Linked DNA regions of Neodiprion lecontei. The protein of the gene in region 1 binds, or shares a complex with, the protein of each later gene. Links are inferred from orthologs where the notes say so. Each region holds a gene or a part of one and is shown in the gene's direction. Other genes may lie near its edges.

Region 1 (6,968 bases):
TTAGCGGACTGACAGGTACCGAATTTGGGGTTGCGCGAAAAACGAATTGAAATAATTTATTGTAAACGTGAACCAGGAACCACGGAGCGCTTATCCTGGAAGTCGAGAAATTTTATTACCGGACTGACAGCTACCGAATTTGGGCTTGCGCGAAAAACGAATTGAAATAATTTATTGTAAACATGAACCAGGAACCACGGAGCGCTTATCCTGGAAGTCGAGAAATTTTATTACCGAACTGACAGTTACCGAATTTGGGCTTGCGCGAAAAACGAATTGAAATAATTTATTGTAAACGTGAACCAGGAACCACGGAGCGCTTATCCTGGAAGTCGAGAAATTTTATTAGCGGACTGACAGCTACCGAATTTGGGCTTGCGCGAAAAACGAATTGAAATAATTTATTGTAAACGTGAACCAGGAACCACGGAGCGCTTATCCTGGAAGTCGAGAAATTTTATTAGCGGACTGACAGCTACCGAATTTGGGTTTGCGCGAAAAACGAATTGAAATAATTTATTGTAAACGTGAACCAGGAACCACGGAGCGCTTATCCTGGAAGTCGAGAAATTTTATTAGCGGACTGACAGCTACCGAATTTGGGGTTGCGCGAAAAACGAATTGAAATAATTTATTGTAAACGTGAACCAGGAACCACGGAGCGCTTATCCTGGAAGTCGAGAAATTTTATTAGCGGACTGACAGCTACTGAATATGGGCTTGCGCGAAAAACGAATTGAAATAATTTATTGTAAACGTGAACCAGGAACCACGGAGCGCTTATCCTAGAAGTCGAGAAATTTTATTAGCGGACTGACAGCTACCGAATTTGGGGTTGCTCGAAAAACGAATTGAAATAATTTATTGTAAACGTGAATCAGGAACCACGGAGCGCTTATCCTGGAAGTCGAGTTTCACCGCGTAGCGGACCCGAAGCGCGGGATCCGGGAGGTTGAGAACCCGGTACTCGAAATACGTAGCGGACCCGAAGCGCGGGATCCGTGAGGTTGAGAACCCGGTACTCGAAATTTGCGGAGCGCGACTCTCATGCGTCCGCTCTACTGCGCGGTTGTGTCCCGACTGAGGAATTCGGCTAGCTGATTTTGAATTGGTGACGTCACTTTCTGAACGTCCGACATCCAAACTATGGTTTCGAACTTTGATACTATGTATGATGATGTATGATGTACGATGTATGATGTATGATGTATGATGATATGATATGATGTATAATGCTTTTAGTCTTCACGTTTCATACAAGAAATACACACTTCATCTCTCCTGCCGATTCCAGACTCAAGCGGCCAGGCCCTTCGATGGTCCGCCGTTGACTGAAGATATATCCTTCAGTTAACGGGTCAGCTAATAACGCAGTCGTTCTGCGATAGTTGGATGATGATTGCGAAGACTGTGTTACTCGGAAAGTGAATGCACCCAGCATACGGCCAGCATCATATCGAAATCGTTAACTCTCCGATGATCTGCAATAAGTTCTCAACTCTACAATTGAAACATCTCAGGGAGCGCAAGCGCACGATGATTTTCGGTTGTCACATCAAATCCCATTGGGGCAACTGTCTACATATTTTTCAGTCAACGTAGGAGGTGTTAGGAGGTGGTTGGAGGTGTTCGGAAATGGTAGGCGGTGGTTGACGCCGGCAGGAGGTGGCAGGGGGTGGTAGGAGGTGTTCGGAAATGGTGCGAGGTAATCGGTGGCAGTTGGGGGTGTTTGGCGGTGGATGCTCCACGCTTCTTGTCACGGGGATGATCGAGCTGATCGACATTTCTTAGTCGCAGTGGACAAGTAGTCTTACGTACTAACTTTGTACCGACTCATTCTCACGCTATCACATCTACACTGCTTTGGCTGCTACGAATGTTGGCGCGTGCCCGTTAGGTAGAGTTGATAGAGCAGAACCCTCTTACGCTCCCAGGTCCACCTGGGCCCACTCGCCCACCGAAAACTGTTCACCAAAATTTACCCAGGGGTATCCGTCTTCATATTCTTTAGTCAACGTTGATAATACGTGAAACTGCTAATACCCCCAAACCTGCCTAAACCCGCCCAATTGCTACAAAAAATAACTCAGAGCTGTGTGTCTGTATATATCTTTAATCAAAGCTGATGTTGCGTCTAACTCTATTTTCGTGATCAAATTCTGTTTAAACTCGAGGCTCTATCAGACAATGTTAGTCACACATTAACTAGGAGTGTATTCCGAAATATACTTGCAGTACTCATAGACATATATGTCTGTGGCAGTTCTGCACGTACTGGCAATCGCGTTCCGAAATCACGCGATAGCGTACTGCCGCCAGTCAGTGACGTCACCAAATTTGTGACGTTCTTGACGCTACTGCGGCTGGGACGTGAGGTAGTTGAAGTACTTGAGAGATGGCCACGTTCTCGGTGTAGTTGGAAAGTAGCGTTCAGATTTTACTGCGACTGGCAATTCGGAGTAAAATCGGAAAGCAGTTCGCAGTTGACTGCGTGACGTCACGGTCGGCAGTACCGAAAGTATATTTCGGAATACACCCTAGAGTTTTTCGAGACTAGGCTAGTGCTGCATGATGTTGGCAGCCTTGAAGTTGTTCATGACCCAAAATTCGGCTACTTTCAGTCGACGCTCATTGTAACCTCAAAACATTCCGATTTATTTAGAGTGAATTTAGGTAAAGCTAAGTTATGTTTGAGGTTAGACCCGTGTTTATACCTCAAGTTTATGTCAAATACTGTATTTAATGTGTGAAACATGTCAATCTACCTTTGTAAATTATGTTCCGTTTTATTGCTGGAACATTTTGGACCTGTCGTGCAAACTGTGGGTGACGATTTACTGAAATACGATCGGAGGTCACTACGAGCTATAAAAGCAGCTGTAAATCTGCCGCTTAACAAAGTACGGCTTCGTCAATTTCAGATAATTTGGAAAGAAAGAACGTATTAATTGGAATTAAATCTTATCCCATTAATCTAAACTCTTCTATTTATATACAGATCAAGGAGGTGATGTGCGTTCTTATAAAGTATGGATTTGTTGAACACAGCAAAAATGATAAACTCAACGAATATATTATTGTTCACGAGCGAATTTTGATGATCCTGCGATATCCAAGGTATCGTGCTCAATGCTTTGATTAAAATAGCTGCAAGTTATATTCGATTTATTGTCCTGTTATTCTTCTCAAACTAAACTTCCTTCAAGGTACATGTTTTTCGTCAAAAGTCTGCTGGGTGACGAAGCTGAAATTATGCTAGAAGAGCTATTAAGACGAGGCTACGAAACAGCTTCGAAAATAATAGTCAAAACTTACCAAAGACTGAAGCAACTATCGAGTGAGCGATTGTTTTTAAAAGATTTATTCAACTCTTCGTTGTTTGATTGCCATATGTACATGTAAATTCTGTAATTTTTGTCAAATCATCAGGTGACCGCCAACAACCGGTGGAAATATTGAAAGAAAAATTTGAGTCACTGGTCAAGCATCAATTTTTAATGCGTTCCATTATTACGCCAGCTGCTCTAGAGGACCCTATAGATTTAAACGTAGAAAAGCTTGACTTTAGTTTCCCAGATCTTAATCTCCTGGCACTTTCTCGAATGGCCAATGGCATCGCAGCAAACCCTGGAGACAATAATATATATTGGCGCATTAATTTCGACAGATTCACTCAAGATATCAGGTAACAATTCAAAAACCGCGAGAAATTATCAACTTGCATGAATAAAGTCATTTGCATTCATTAACTTTCTAATGAGACTGAAGTTAGTAATGTTAGAGTAACCAAATGTTGAAATAAACGTCCACATTTCACAGCTTCATATCAACTGACGGAGTTCAATTTACCAAATACAAGTTTGTCCGTCTGTATTATGGTTTATTAAATTCCAGAAAATTTCAATATTGCAAAATAACGAGTTTTTATGAAACTGCGTTGTTACGATAACGCTAAGAACTTCAACCTCATACTTTATCGTGGTATATTACATTTCAGGGATCAAATCATGGTCTCTGCTATCACTAAGCGTTTTGATGATAATGCCGGAGAGCTAATGAGGCAAATGCTGAATCTAATGTACTTGCGCACAGCTGAGTGGAGGGCAACGTCAAATCCTATACCTTACGTGGAAATAAAGGATGCAGTTAGAAAGTTGAAATATCCCATGTTAATTCAACACCTAGATCAATATTTGTGCCTTATTGGTCAGTAAATTATTTTGATTATTGACCTGATATCAGTCACTGACAACGACCATTCAAATAGCATTATATCTTCAGAATCTTGAATCTCTAATTCCAGAGATATTAAATGAAAAGAAAAAAAAATGAAATCGTGTAATTGCAGAGGAAGATACTTGCCAGTTTTTAAAAAGGGTTGGAGATAGCGGAGGTGGACAGTTTAGCATAAACATGAAACAAGCTTTCACACAGTTAACGTGGACTACTCTGGAGAATATTGTCCTTGAACGATTCGGATCAAAGGCTGCAAGAATATTTAGGTCAGTATTCAACATATTACCAAACAGCACTCATATAACGTGTAAGTAATAAGATGTTCTGTCGCAGATTGGTACGTACAAGAAAATACGTCGAGCAGGAACAGATCCAGCAGTTGGCGATGATACCTGCTAAGGAAGCTAAGCATTTAACGTACACGTTGCTGCAGGAGAATTATATCCATGTACAAGAATTAAAGAAGACGACGGTTTCGAATGCCCCGACAAAAATATTCTTCCTTTTTCACATAGACCTTGATCAGGTTGTCGGAATGGAAATAAGTCACTGCTATCATGCTCTTTATAATACCATACAGCGGCGGGATCACGAAAACACGGTGAATAAGAGGATGATTGAGAAACACTTGCGGGTACAAACGCTCACCAGTAACTTGAAGGAACATGGGGCCACAGAAGAACAGTTAAACGATGTCGGTATTTTGATAGATATAATTAAGTCTTTAACCCGATTTTAAGGAATGCTTATTAAGCTGAAATTGATTTGTTTCCCGTTATATTTACAGATAGCGGAAATGATGACCCCGTCTGAAAAGTTAGAACTGGGCAAAGTACAAGACATAATTAAAAAACTTGGTGCCAGCGAACTACAGATAGATGAAACGTTATTTTTGTTGACAATGTATTCACGGTATCAAGAAAAATAAAAACTTTGATATTCAATCACGTTGTTTGACAATGAGACAAGAATAATGAACAAATTTCATAAAGCCAGTGACCTCGGCGATCCAAGAGAATCTCGAAAGATGACTACCATTGGTAACATAGAGAAAACTAGGAGTGCTTCGATGGCATTCTCGGGATCCAAATATTTTTTTGTTTGTAAGGGCGTTCAAATAAGATTCCAACCCAATGAAATGCTCATAAACATATAAATACATTATACTGTAGATCAAAGCGATGTAAATAAATGAACAAGAACGCTGGTAAGTTTCAAGTAAGTGTGAGAAAATAAATATAACTGTTCAACTGTTCGTTTTATAAATAACCAAGAAGTTTAGTGACTTCATAAATTTCAAGACTTATACGCTATAGTTTCGTTTACGTACCGTTTGTTTTTCGCCAAATCTCGGAATCGTTACATTATTGCATCACGAGCAGACACATCATATTGCGCGCACAGACATATTATTGCAGAAAAACTTTGGCCAATAACTGAAGTAAAAAGGTAATAAAAATAATTTACGACAACCGATATAACATATTGTTTATTTCATACGGGTATTTTATTAATATGTAATGATAATAATAATAATAAAAATAATATTAATAATAATGATTACGCATGTAAAATACTAACAACAAAGAGTACCTAACTTTTAAATTATTACAATAAATATAATGATATATCTGTGTGTTTATTATTATATATATATATGTACACATATATATATACAGATATATATATATATATGTATGTATGTACCGATAGTACTGCTGGTACTGCTCTCCTAAATATCAGGATACAACAGTTCAGCATTTGAGTGTCGCTATTAACTGCTGGAAAGGTCGTACTTTTATGTAAGAAGTACCCGAGATTGGGGTGGAAATCTGTTAAAGATTTTTCAACGATTTCATATAATTGTGACTGATTGAAACAAAAATAATGATAATAATAATAATAATAATACATTCATCATGGATATGTGAACCTTGTCGATTCGGTAATTGAGAAACATAACATTCGTAAGTGTAATATTATTGTTAATAAATCTTAAAAATTGCAACTCATGCGAGAACCGCGTATAATAATGACTTTTATACATCGCACCGTTACAGGCAAATTATCATAAAAATAACGTCTTGTTGCACAATTAATCGGCACTCTGTGAAACTAAACGAGTATAAAACGATATTATGGGCAATCAATGCGGATAATAAACGCTGTGCGTTATGGCGTTTATGATTATCATACTCGACTAGGTATTCGTCGCAAAACGTGGATTTTTTAACTATACTTCATGATAAAATATAATTATAGGTATATATACATCACGAATCTCATCACTCGCCTGGATGCAGAAGCGATAATTTTTCCGGCGTTTTCTTGGATTAAATAATATTCATTATTATATCGTCCACCCAAACACTCTTTTACCGGACAGTAATTAATACTCCCGTAGGAACAAATCAATTGTAAATTCTATCTATGCATTATGTGTGCGCAATTGTATGCAGTGATGAAAATCTAAACATGGGTTTCAACAGATATCAAGATTCAATTAGGATTAGCTGCGTTTCACATAAAATCCGGATGGTTCAACATATTATATTAATAGTAATAATAATGGCAATAGTATTAATGATAATAATAATAATAGTAATAATAATATGTTTTGATTTTGTGCCTTTGATTTATTCGTTTTTTGTTTTTTGCTTTATTCTTAAATATATATATATATATATAATGTTCTTTTCTCCCTCTACAAGTATTATAGAATTGTAGATTAC
Region 2 (8,224 bases), on another chromosome or scaffold:
TCAAGTCGAACAATATCGATCGTAGACATAAAATTATCGCAACCAAAGTTGTAGAGAATTAAATTTTCTACGAGTTTAGCTGTTACCATTTCTAGTCAGCAATTGAAAATGGGCGATTTATTTGAAAAAAAACAAATTCCACCTTGAATTGAAGATGGCAGCTGAAGTTACTGCAGAATCTTATGGAAATTCTTGATTCGGACTACCGACGACTTCCCCTCAACGATGAGAAAAAGAAAATTGTGCTATAGAAAAATTTCATCTTCAAATGTTCTTTTTTTTACGTACCTGTAGTTAGCGACTGGATTAATAACAAAACGATAAAAGCACCGGAGTGCAAAGAACAAGAGACACCCTTGAGTCGCAAAAGTCGTCTAACAGACTTTTTCGATTTCTAGACGTCTTTGTTGTTCGGATGTTTTTTGGGCCCCTGCATAATTGTACACACGGGTGGAAAATGGAGTCCCTGGTGGGACAGGCGACGCCGATTGTCGCTACGTTCGTTTTATTATAGCTGGTGGATCCGTGTCGCTGATCGTAGACAAAACGATCGGCCACGGAGCTAGAGGGTCGAATTGGTTTTCAGGACTCCGAGGGGACTCTATAGACGCGTGATAGAATAGCGAGGGGCCAACTCATCTGGATCCTCGACACTCTATATCGCAGCTCTTTACGTCCGATCTTTTTTCTTTTTCATTCCTCTCGACAAATTCACGGCCGGTTATATATCACGTACGTACGTACCGATTATTTTTATTACGAATAGAAACGTGCGGAAGGGCGTTCGCTTCACATGCCCTATATTACTGCAGCGCATCACGATCACGTGTGATTTATTGCAAGTCAACTTTTCACGGCTACTGATGATATAAATAGACATATATATATATATACATACCTATATAGATATACATATAACGCTGAGATTAACGTTCGTCATTTTTCTTGTCTAGAGTCACTTGTTATATTTCCGCTACACAGACGCAGTCCCCTGAAACCTGTAGCTGATGATCGCGTAATGCGGGATCACCGACTGAATTTCTATCATGTGTCTTTTAATAAGAATAAAAAATTCATCGAGTATAAGTTCAAATTAGGAATAACGAAAATTTTCATACAGAACGTCATTCTTATTCAGAAACGATTGTTAATCAATTCCGCAATCGTGTTGGCGTTGGACTTAAAATCTGATAGTTAGATTGTTGTAAACTCGTGTTATTGTTACATAAGCAACCGTTAGTTTCTGATTTGAATTTTGGAACGTAATAAAACTTGAGTAATATGAACAACAGGACGACTGGAATAAAACCGGTATTACAATTTCTCGTAGCACGAAAACGTATGCATTTTAGTCATGAAATTTAATTACCACAGTGTCTGCGAAATCCTAGAAACTCGGATGCAAATATACCGTATACTAAGGTTTATTCTGTAATCTGAGAATTTTGCATCCACCTTTCCAAATTTTGAAATTCTGAGGTAAGAATCGAATGTAAGTCACCCGAATGATCTGAGTTTACAATTATAGACACAGTCAATTGCAATAACGGAATTTCACCTCTGAAAATTTGAAAAATTTGAGAAAAAGCATTCCAAAGTTTTACGGTAAGTATGTCAACACCCGATATAATGGATTTCAAAACAGTCGTCAAATAACTGTCGCATGGACCAGAGACGCTGCTCGATCGTATCGCACTCAATGCTGCAAGACTATTCCTTAGAAGTTTGATATATTCTTGTAACTTCACACGGAACCCGTCACACCTTTGTTTTAACGATTAGGCCAGCGATATATTGTAATATGTATTACCGTCCGCACGTCAGGAATGCGCATGCAAAAGCATGGCTTACATGATTATAGGTATACAAACTACTGTACACGTATACACACGTGCTATGTATACAGACCACGAAGAATACTTCAAATTAGATAACGCTGCACGTTTCGCGCGGTGGCGCAGAGAATTATCTTTCAAGTTCCATAACACCGGAGACGGGGTAATAATATTTCTCATTTTTCTCATTCTGCATTGTTTACAATGCATGCATAAGATAACCTGCAGTTGGTAGACATATACAGCCAGTATCCACTATCCAATATCCACTCAACTTGAATCTCGTTGCCGACCTTTGCCGAGCTAATATATCATATAACAGCCAACCTGGACATAGATCCTCCAATGCAATATATATGTGTATTATATAAAAGTATTACCAGCGAAGCAAGAAAGGTCACGTCCTGAGGGTATAATTTGAAAAATAGAATCGAGGTAAGTTATACTGACTTGTGTGAAATACGATTTCAAAAATAATGGAAAAGCATGCAGTTGGTAGGAGAACGAAAATAATTATACTACATCAATTTTTCATTGAGTCTTCGATATTTTATGCCAGTAAATTGCTTCAGGAAAGAAATATTCTACTATGTACTACGAATAAATTGAAACCAGGCCTAGTAATAGAAACATATTTTTCAAATTACAATGCAAATTTTTTGAATCGCATAGCCGTGTGAATAAAGATTAATTTTGTCAATGCGCAGGTATATTGAACTTTTGTTTGCCAATGGAGTGTAAAGCATACACTGTGTAAAAGTATTGATATTAGATCAGCTTCGACAATTCTGCAAAGTTCAAAAACCATCCCATCAAATACAGTATGCAACAAACCAAACGCACCTGTCCTTTTTACTTTCTGTAGTAAACTATTCCAATTTTTCCTACACAATGAAACCAATAGCAACTTAAGTCACCGATGAAAAATCAAGCCCTCGCAGTTAGAGACATAAGTTTACTAAGAACCCAAAGTGAAACAATGAGTTCTACTTAATTGTTAACTCGTAAAATATTTATTTTGTTGTGAGGTCAAGTACTTGATATTATTTTCAGCAAGATTAATTTTAGTACGTTTAAAAACTACATTTGGAAAAATAAACTATGTTCGATGTAGATATGTTTTCCATACGGAAAATTTATATTTAAACCATTAAATAAGTTTAAAGATCGTAGATTACTGGAATGTACACGATTGCGAAAGAAGTATTGCAGCACCCTTGTATTTCAGAAGCATATAAAAATCATTTGCCAATAATTATTGCGCATATTTCAGAATGATAATACAGTGATAATAACCATAAATCGAGCGAACTCAATCGAAATAATTCTGTACTCCCATTAAGCGCAGAACTTCGTTTACTTCGAACTGATATCATTAAGAAGTTGTAAATCTCTTTTATCTCTAGCGTGTCAAAGCGTAAGGACAGTTTGTAAATTTCGCACTCGTTAAAAAATGACAGATCGTCCATGTTCCGATTGGAGGACGACAGGCCAATCAACATTCGTCCGCTCGGTCGGTATACAACACACATGTGTAGGCAACTGTACGTATGCACACGTGCCCCACAGACGCCTGGCCTAACAATAAGTCTAAACAAATAAACTATTCTAGTGGACAGTGGCTAATTTCAACTGTCGCAGACTTAAATATTTTCTATTATAACATAACGGCAGTACATCACTATATTTGGTAAACAGATCAGCATTGGATTTTGAACCAGTCCGAGTCAACACGCCGAATACACGTTATATCCAATTTTAGGTTAGCTTGAGTAAGGATATGTTACTATCGCAAACGGCTATTTGAGTGAAAACGCAATCGATTAATATTATTTTTCAGGTAACTTGTATCTTGGATTAATAGCGTGAGAGAATGTCAGTTAATTTAGCAATTAAATTAACTAAATTTACTGAAATTCTCTAGTACTATCAGCGTAGATTTACTCGTCATGCCATAAAACTGCTTGACTGCTTTTATTTCTTTGTTTTCTAGTTTTATATAAACTGAACTGTTATCCAGGTTCATGACTGACTTTTAATTGGATTTCCTTTAGAAATGGACTCGGATAAATCAAAAAACAGCAGAGAACTGGATCCAAAAATAAAGATCAAAGTAGAACCGGGTACATCAGGATCAACGGTGTTAACAAATGTGAAAATTGAGGCTGGACTACCTTCTACGAGGCTTACTTCATTTAGATCGCCACGAGATTGGACACTAGGCGGGCATGTGAAACTAGAAAAACCAAAAAAACTGTATACTCCAAACTTGAACGTACAACGAAATAAAGCTAAAGAGTAAGCAGGAATCACATTTATACTATTGTTATCAAGGCATCATAGATGTAGTAATCTGTTTTACTTTGCAGTGATCACACTACTGTAAAAAATAATACTAAAGTTCCAAGAGAAAGAGGCCGCGGAAGAGGACAAAGTACAAGAGGTAGAGGCAAAGGAAAAGTCTCGGATAACATTATCCAGGTTAGGTTATCTTTGTTAATCAGAAGTTGGATTACAGTGTTCAAACATTCATGGTTGATTTTTTGTATATATGTACTCTTTGCAGACTGACGGAGTATTCTCCAGTGGTATAGCAGATTCTTCACGAGCCAAAAAAAGATTCAGTAGTTACAGAGATGGTAGCAATTTGAGCGGCAATCGAAGTGCCAGTACTGTTTTAGAAAAACAAAAATTAAATTTAAACCAGAAGATTGATAAAGCTGAAGAAGAAGAGAAACTCAAGCACCTGCTTCGAGATGATTTTATCGAAAATGGAGCTGTACCAGATATGGAAAATGCACCAGTGATGCTACCTATGGCTGATGATGGTCAGTATCAAACCTATTTTAATTAGCCTTCATGCAAGTTTGATGAGACAACTAAACTTCTGTCACTTTTTTTTTGTTCATTTATCATTCCAGCACAGTTATACAAGAAAGAATTCAAGGAAGAACCCCAAGTAATAAAGGCTGATGGATTAGATGAAGATGTGAAACCAGTAATCTTAGAAAACGGAAAAGGTACGTCACAAAAATTATTTTGTAGGAGTTTCCAGATCTATGGAATAAAAAATCTTCAAACAAATGGCAGAAGTAAAATACTTACGGACTGCACATCGATTTGAATCATCAAATTTTAAAGTTCTTAAATTAATTAATTTCTTAATCATAAAATTTGGACTGATTGAAGTACTTCAAATTTTTTCAGTATTGAAACAAATAATCTTCTAAGAGGAAAAAAAATTATGTCGTGCATGATTACTGTCATTCATTACGAAACGTTGCAATAATAATTAATTCTTAAAATTTTCCATTCTTTCCAGTATCAGAAGAACATAACACAGCAAAAACTTCGTTACCGAAGAAATCGCTAACAGAGGAGAAAAAACTTATCACTATTCCACAAATTGTTGCAAACGAAGCAAATAATTACATTTTACTACAGGTACAACCGATGAAATTTTTTTTTTTTTTTTCACTTTGCACAGATATGCCTTGGACTGAACCTTATCCTGTGGCGTAAATTATACGTTGTACTTTACAGTTTCCCGATTGCCTACCTGGACTTAAAACAGATGATGAATTGAGTGATCCAAAAGCGAGAAGAACAACCGATTTAGGTTCAGCAAATCCTAGTGATATCAATCCCAAGACTGAATACTGTACGCTGAAAAACTTGAAGGAAGGAATGCTAGGGAAATTACAAATACTAAAATCTGGACAAGCGAGACTTGTTTTAGGGGATAACAAATTAATTGTAGATGTGGGCTCGCACATCAGTTTCAGACAAGTAAGTTCAAGTGAAAAAATTCTGTGATCTTATCAACGTCATCATGTGGGTAAAGGCGTGCATTTGTTGAAACTTTTCTTTTGTTTCAGGATCTAATCGCTGCCAAATTGGACCTTGAAAAACTTGAAGGCGAACTTATTAACCTTGGCTCAGTCAGCAGTACCCTTATTTGCTTACCCGACTGGGAATCAATGTTAGATAATCTTTGAACTTATGAGAAAAGCAAATTTCAATTGTTTTAACTTATTAATTGTACTAGATATTATTCTGGCTGTTGTAAAAATTAAACGAAATCTGAAATTCGAAGCCCTCTCTTGCGTGGGATATCGCAATTGAAGTACTCTTTAAAAAAATCGCAAGTTCATGAAAATCATATTCCATAAAAAAAAAACTCATAAAATATAGTGCGGAAACATTGGGTGATAAAATTGAGGCCCCGTAAATTTTTTCCTTGTATTATTAAGTTAATTATTTCACATCTCAACTAAAATTTCTAGTGATAATATGATATTTATGTATTTAAACGTGGAAAAAAAGTTACAAGTTTTTCTTAGTTGAAACAGTTTTTATTTCACGGACACGCGATTCATACGATTTCACAATGTTAGGTATGCTCTTCGATTGTCACACATCCTTTCACATGTCAACTTAATTTACAAATTAATTGATTATTTCACACTGCATGGTATGAACACTTTTTGGCAATCAGAAACGTAAAAAAAACTTTTACCTCTAGTTTGAATTTCTGATTGCATGAGAATTACAACAAAAAACGAGTTGTAAAATTACTAGCATAGATACAATCAACTATTGTAAGTTTTAGTTTTAGTTTTTTATGGTACTTTTTTTTTATAAATACCAAATTATTTTTTAATGGTAATATCAAAGAAGTTGCCTCAAAAATTGCAACCGCAGTCTGTTAAAATACAAAACCGTTAATTATCAGTTTTGTTTGTTGGATCGGGTGAATCGTTACTTTGGCATAGCCAACCTAAGAAATAACAGCCTATAATTATTTGAAATACGCCAACTTCTCTGACATTATCTTGCATGAATTACGCACAATCCATTTAGTCACTTTGTTCAATACTGTGTCCTTTCTTCATAGATTTCAAGGCTTTTTCGCGTAGTTTTTTTTCGAGTTCTTCCGTGTTCCCCTCACTTGCATCCGATTCTTCAGACTCTACAGCCTTCTTTTTTTTATGCTTACGATGTTTCTTATGCTTTTTGTGTTTTTTGTGCTTTTTATCTTTCTTTTTCTTCTTTTCCTCCACTTCACTATCCTGTTATCCAAGAAAAACAAGAGAAACAAAAAACAAATTAGATTCAGCGAAAGTTTGGCTTCCGGTATCTTCAATTCATAACATTTATGTCGTATTAGACCTACACAGTTATTTTATGCAAGGCAGAATCCAAGTAACTTAATTTATATGCTACCCAAAAATCATTAAATTCTCACCTCAGATTCGCTTGTACTTGTCTTCATTTTCTTTTTGCGTTTCTTCTTTACCTTCTCGTCGTCACTGCTATCTTCTACCTTTTTCTTTTTCTTACTTTCTCGCTCTACAATTTCTTCATCGTCCGAACTGGAATCCCGCTTGGCTTTCTTTAATTTGGACCTTCCCTCATCGTCGCTGGTTGATTCTTTTCTCGACTTCCTACTTCTCGACTTTGCATCCTCAGACGAGCTGTCTCGACGCTTTCTCGACTTTTTCGGTTCATCGTCAGAGCTGGAGTCTTTTTTCGACTTTCTTGACTTAGATTTCTCCTCTTCTAATTTTGATATTTTCTTCAATTTCATTTCATCTTCATCAGACGTGGAATCTTTTCGCACCTTTTTAGTTTTTCGTAGATCTTCCTCAATTTCCCTCTTTGACCGCTTTCTTGATTCTATGTCGCCACTGGTATCACGTTTTCGAGTATCCCTGCGATCCTTACTACGATCATCCAGCAAATCTGTTCAATGAAAATTTGGACATACATGAATTTAAATCAATGACATTGAAATTGCGTTCAACTTTGTCATCAATTTTGTGGATGATTAAATTGCTTATATTATATTATTAATTCACAATATCACATCCATTTTGTGTGAAAGTATAAACGATTAATCATAGTGAGTTTCAAAGTTTCACATCAATGGTTCTCTATTTTTAATTAGATAAGACCTTAGTAATTTGCAACGGATTTGCAATACAGTAGAACCACGTTTATCCGAGGTAATAAGGGGAGAGCATACCTCGGATGAGTGAAATCTCGGATGATACGGAAAACATGTGCAATCCAAGCCAATGTAGTTCACAAGAAACTTTCACAAGTTTATGCGTGTTCAAACAATGTAGCAACACAAAACTATTTTATACATGTCGGAGAAGAATAAAGAGGATACATCATCAAGTGAATTCGAAACTAACTTTGAATGAGTCCGCCGTATCAAGCATCAAGCATTATTCAACATGTGTTAAGAAATTTTCGTCTCTTCAAGCACCAGTAAGAATATAATGTGTAGGTGAAATGTTTACATCTGAAATTCTTGCTTCTTGATGAGAAGCCACGTAAGACAAGCAAAGCCGTCTAATGAATGATATGCGGATGTGCAA

Evidence for each region.
Region 2: DNA-directed RNA polymerase III subunit RPC3 (region 1) and DNA-directed RNA polymerase III subunit RPC4 share a complex: the UniProt entries of both Homo sapiens proteins name them as parts of the RNA polymerase III complex. The link is inferred for Neodiprion lecontei from reciprocal best matches to the Homo sapiens genes POLR3C and POLR3D.

The regions. Positions count from the first base shown.
Region 1 is NC_060265.1:6,939,962-6,946,929, forward strand, and holds DNA-directed RNA polymerase III subunit RPC3, read left to right. Parts: upstream 1-2,496; 5' UTR 2,497-2,753; coding exon 2,754-2,900; intron 2,901-2,998; coding exon 2,999-3,117; intron 3,118-3,206; coding exon 3,207-3,337; intron 3,338-3,429; coding exon 3,430-3,685; intron 3,686-3,997; coding exon 3,998-4,206; intron 4,207-4,348; coding exon 4,349-4,502; intron 4,503-4,569; coding exon 4,570-4,930; intron 4,931-5,023; coding exon 5,024-5,164; 3' UTR 5,165-5,180; downstream 5,181-6,968. UniProt on the Homo sapiens protein: DNA-dependent RNA polymerase catalyzes the transcription of DNA into RNA using the four ribonucleoside triphosphates as substrates.
Region 2 is NC_060260.1:24,685,744-24,693,967, forward strand, and holds DNA-directed RNA polymerase III subunit RPC4, read left to right. Parts: upstream 1-2,246; 5' UTR 2,247-2,270; intron 2,271-3,360; exon of another isoform or gene 3,361-3,675; intron 3,676-3,889; 5' UTR 3,890-3,891; coding exon 3,892-4,133; intron 4,134-4,204; coding exon 4,205-4,316; intron 4,317-4,401; coding exon 4,402-4,663; intron 4,664-4,756; coding exon 4,757-4,855; intron 4,856-5,157; coding exon 5,158-5,279; intron 5,280-5,378; coding exon 5,379-5,624; intron 5,625-5,713; coding exon 5,714-5,833; 3' UTR 5,834-6,336; downstream 6,337-8,224. Other genes in the region: serine/arginine repetitive matrix protein 1, read right to left, coding at 6,695-6,907, 7,084-7,580. UniProt on the Homo sapiens protein: DNA-dependent RNA polymerase catalyzes the transcription of DNA into RNA using the four ribonucleoside triphosphates as substrates.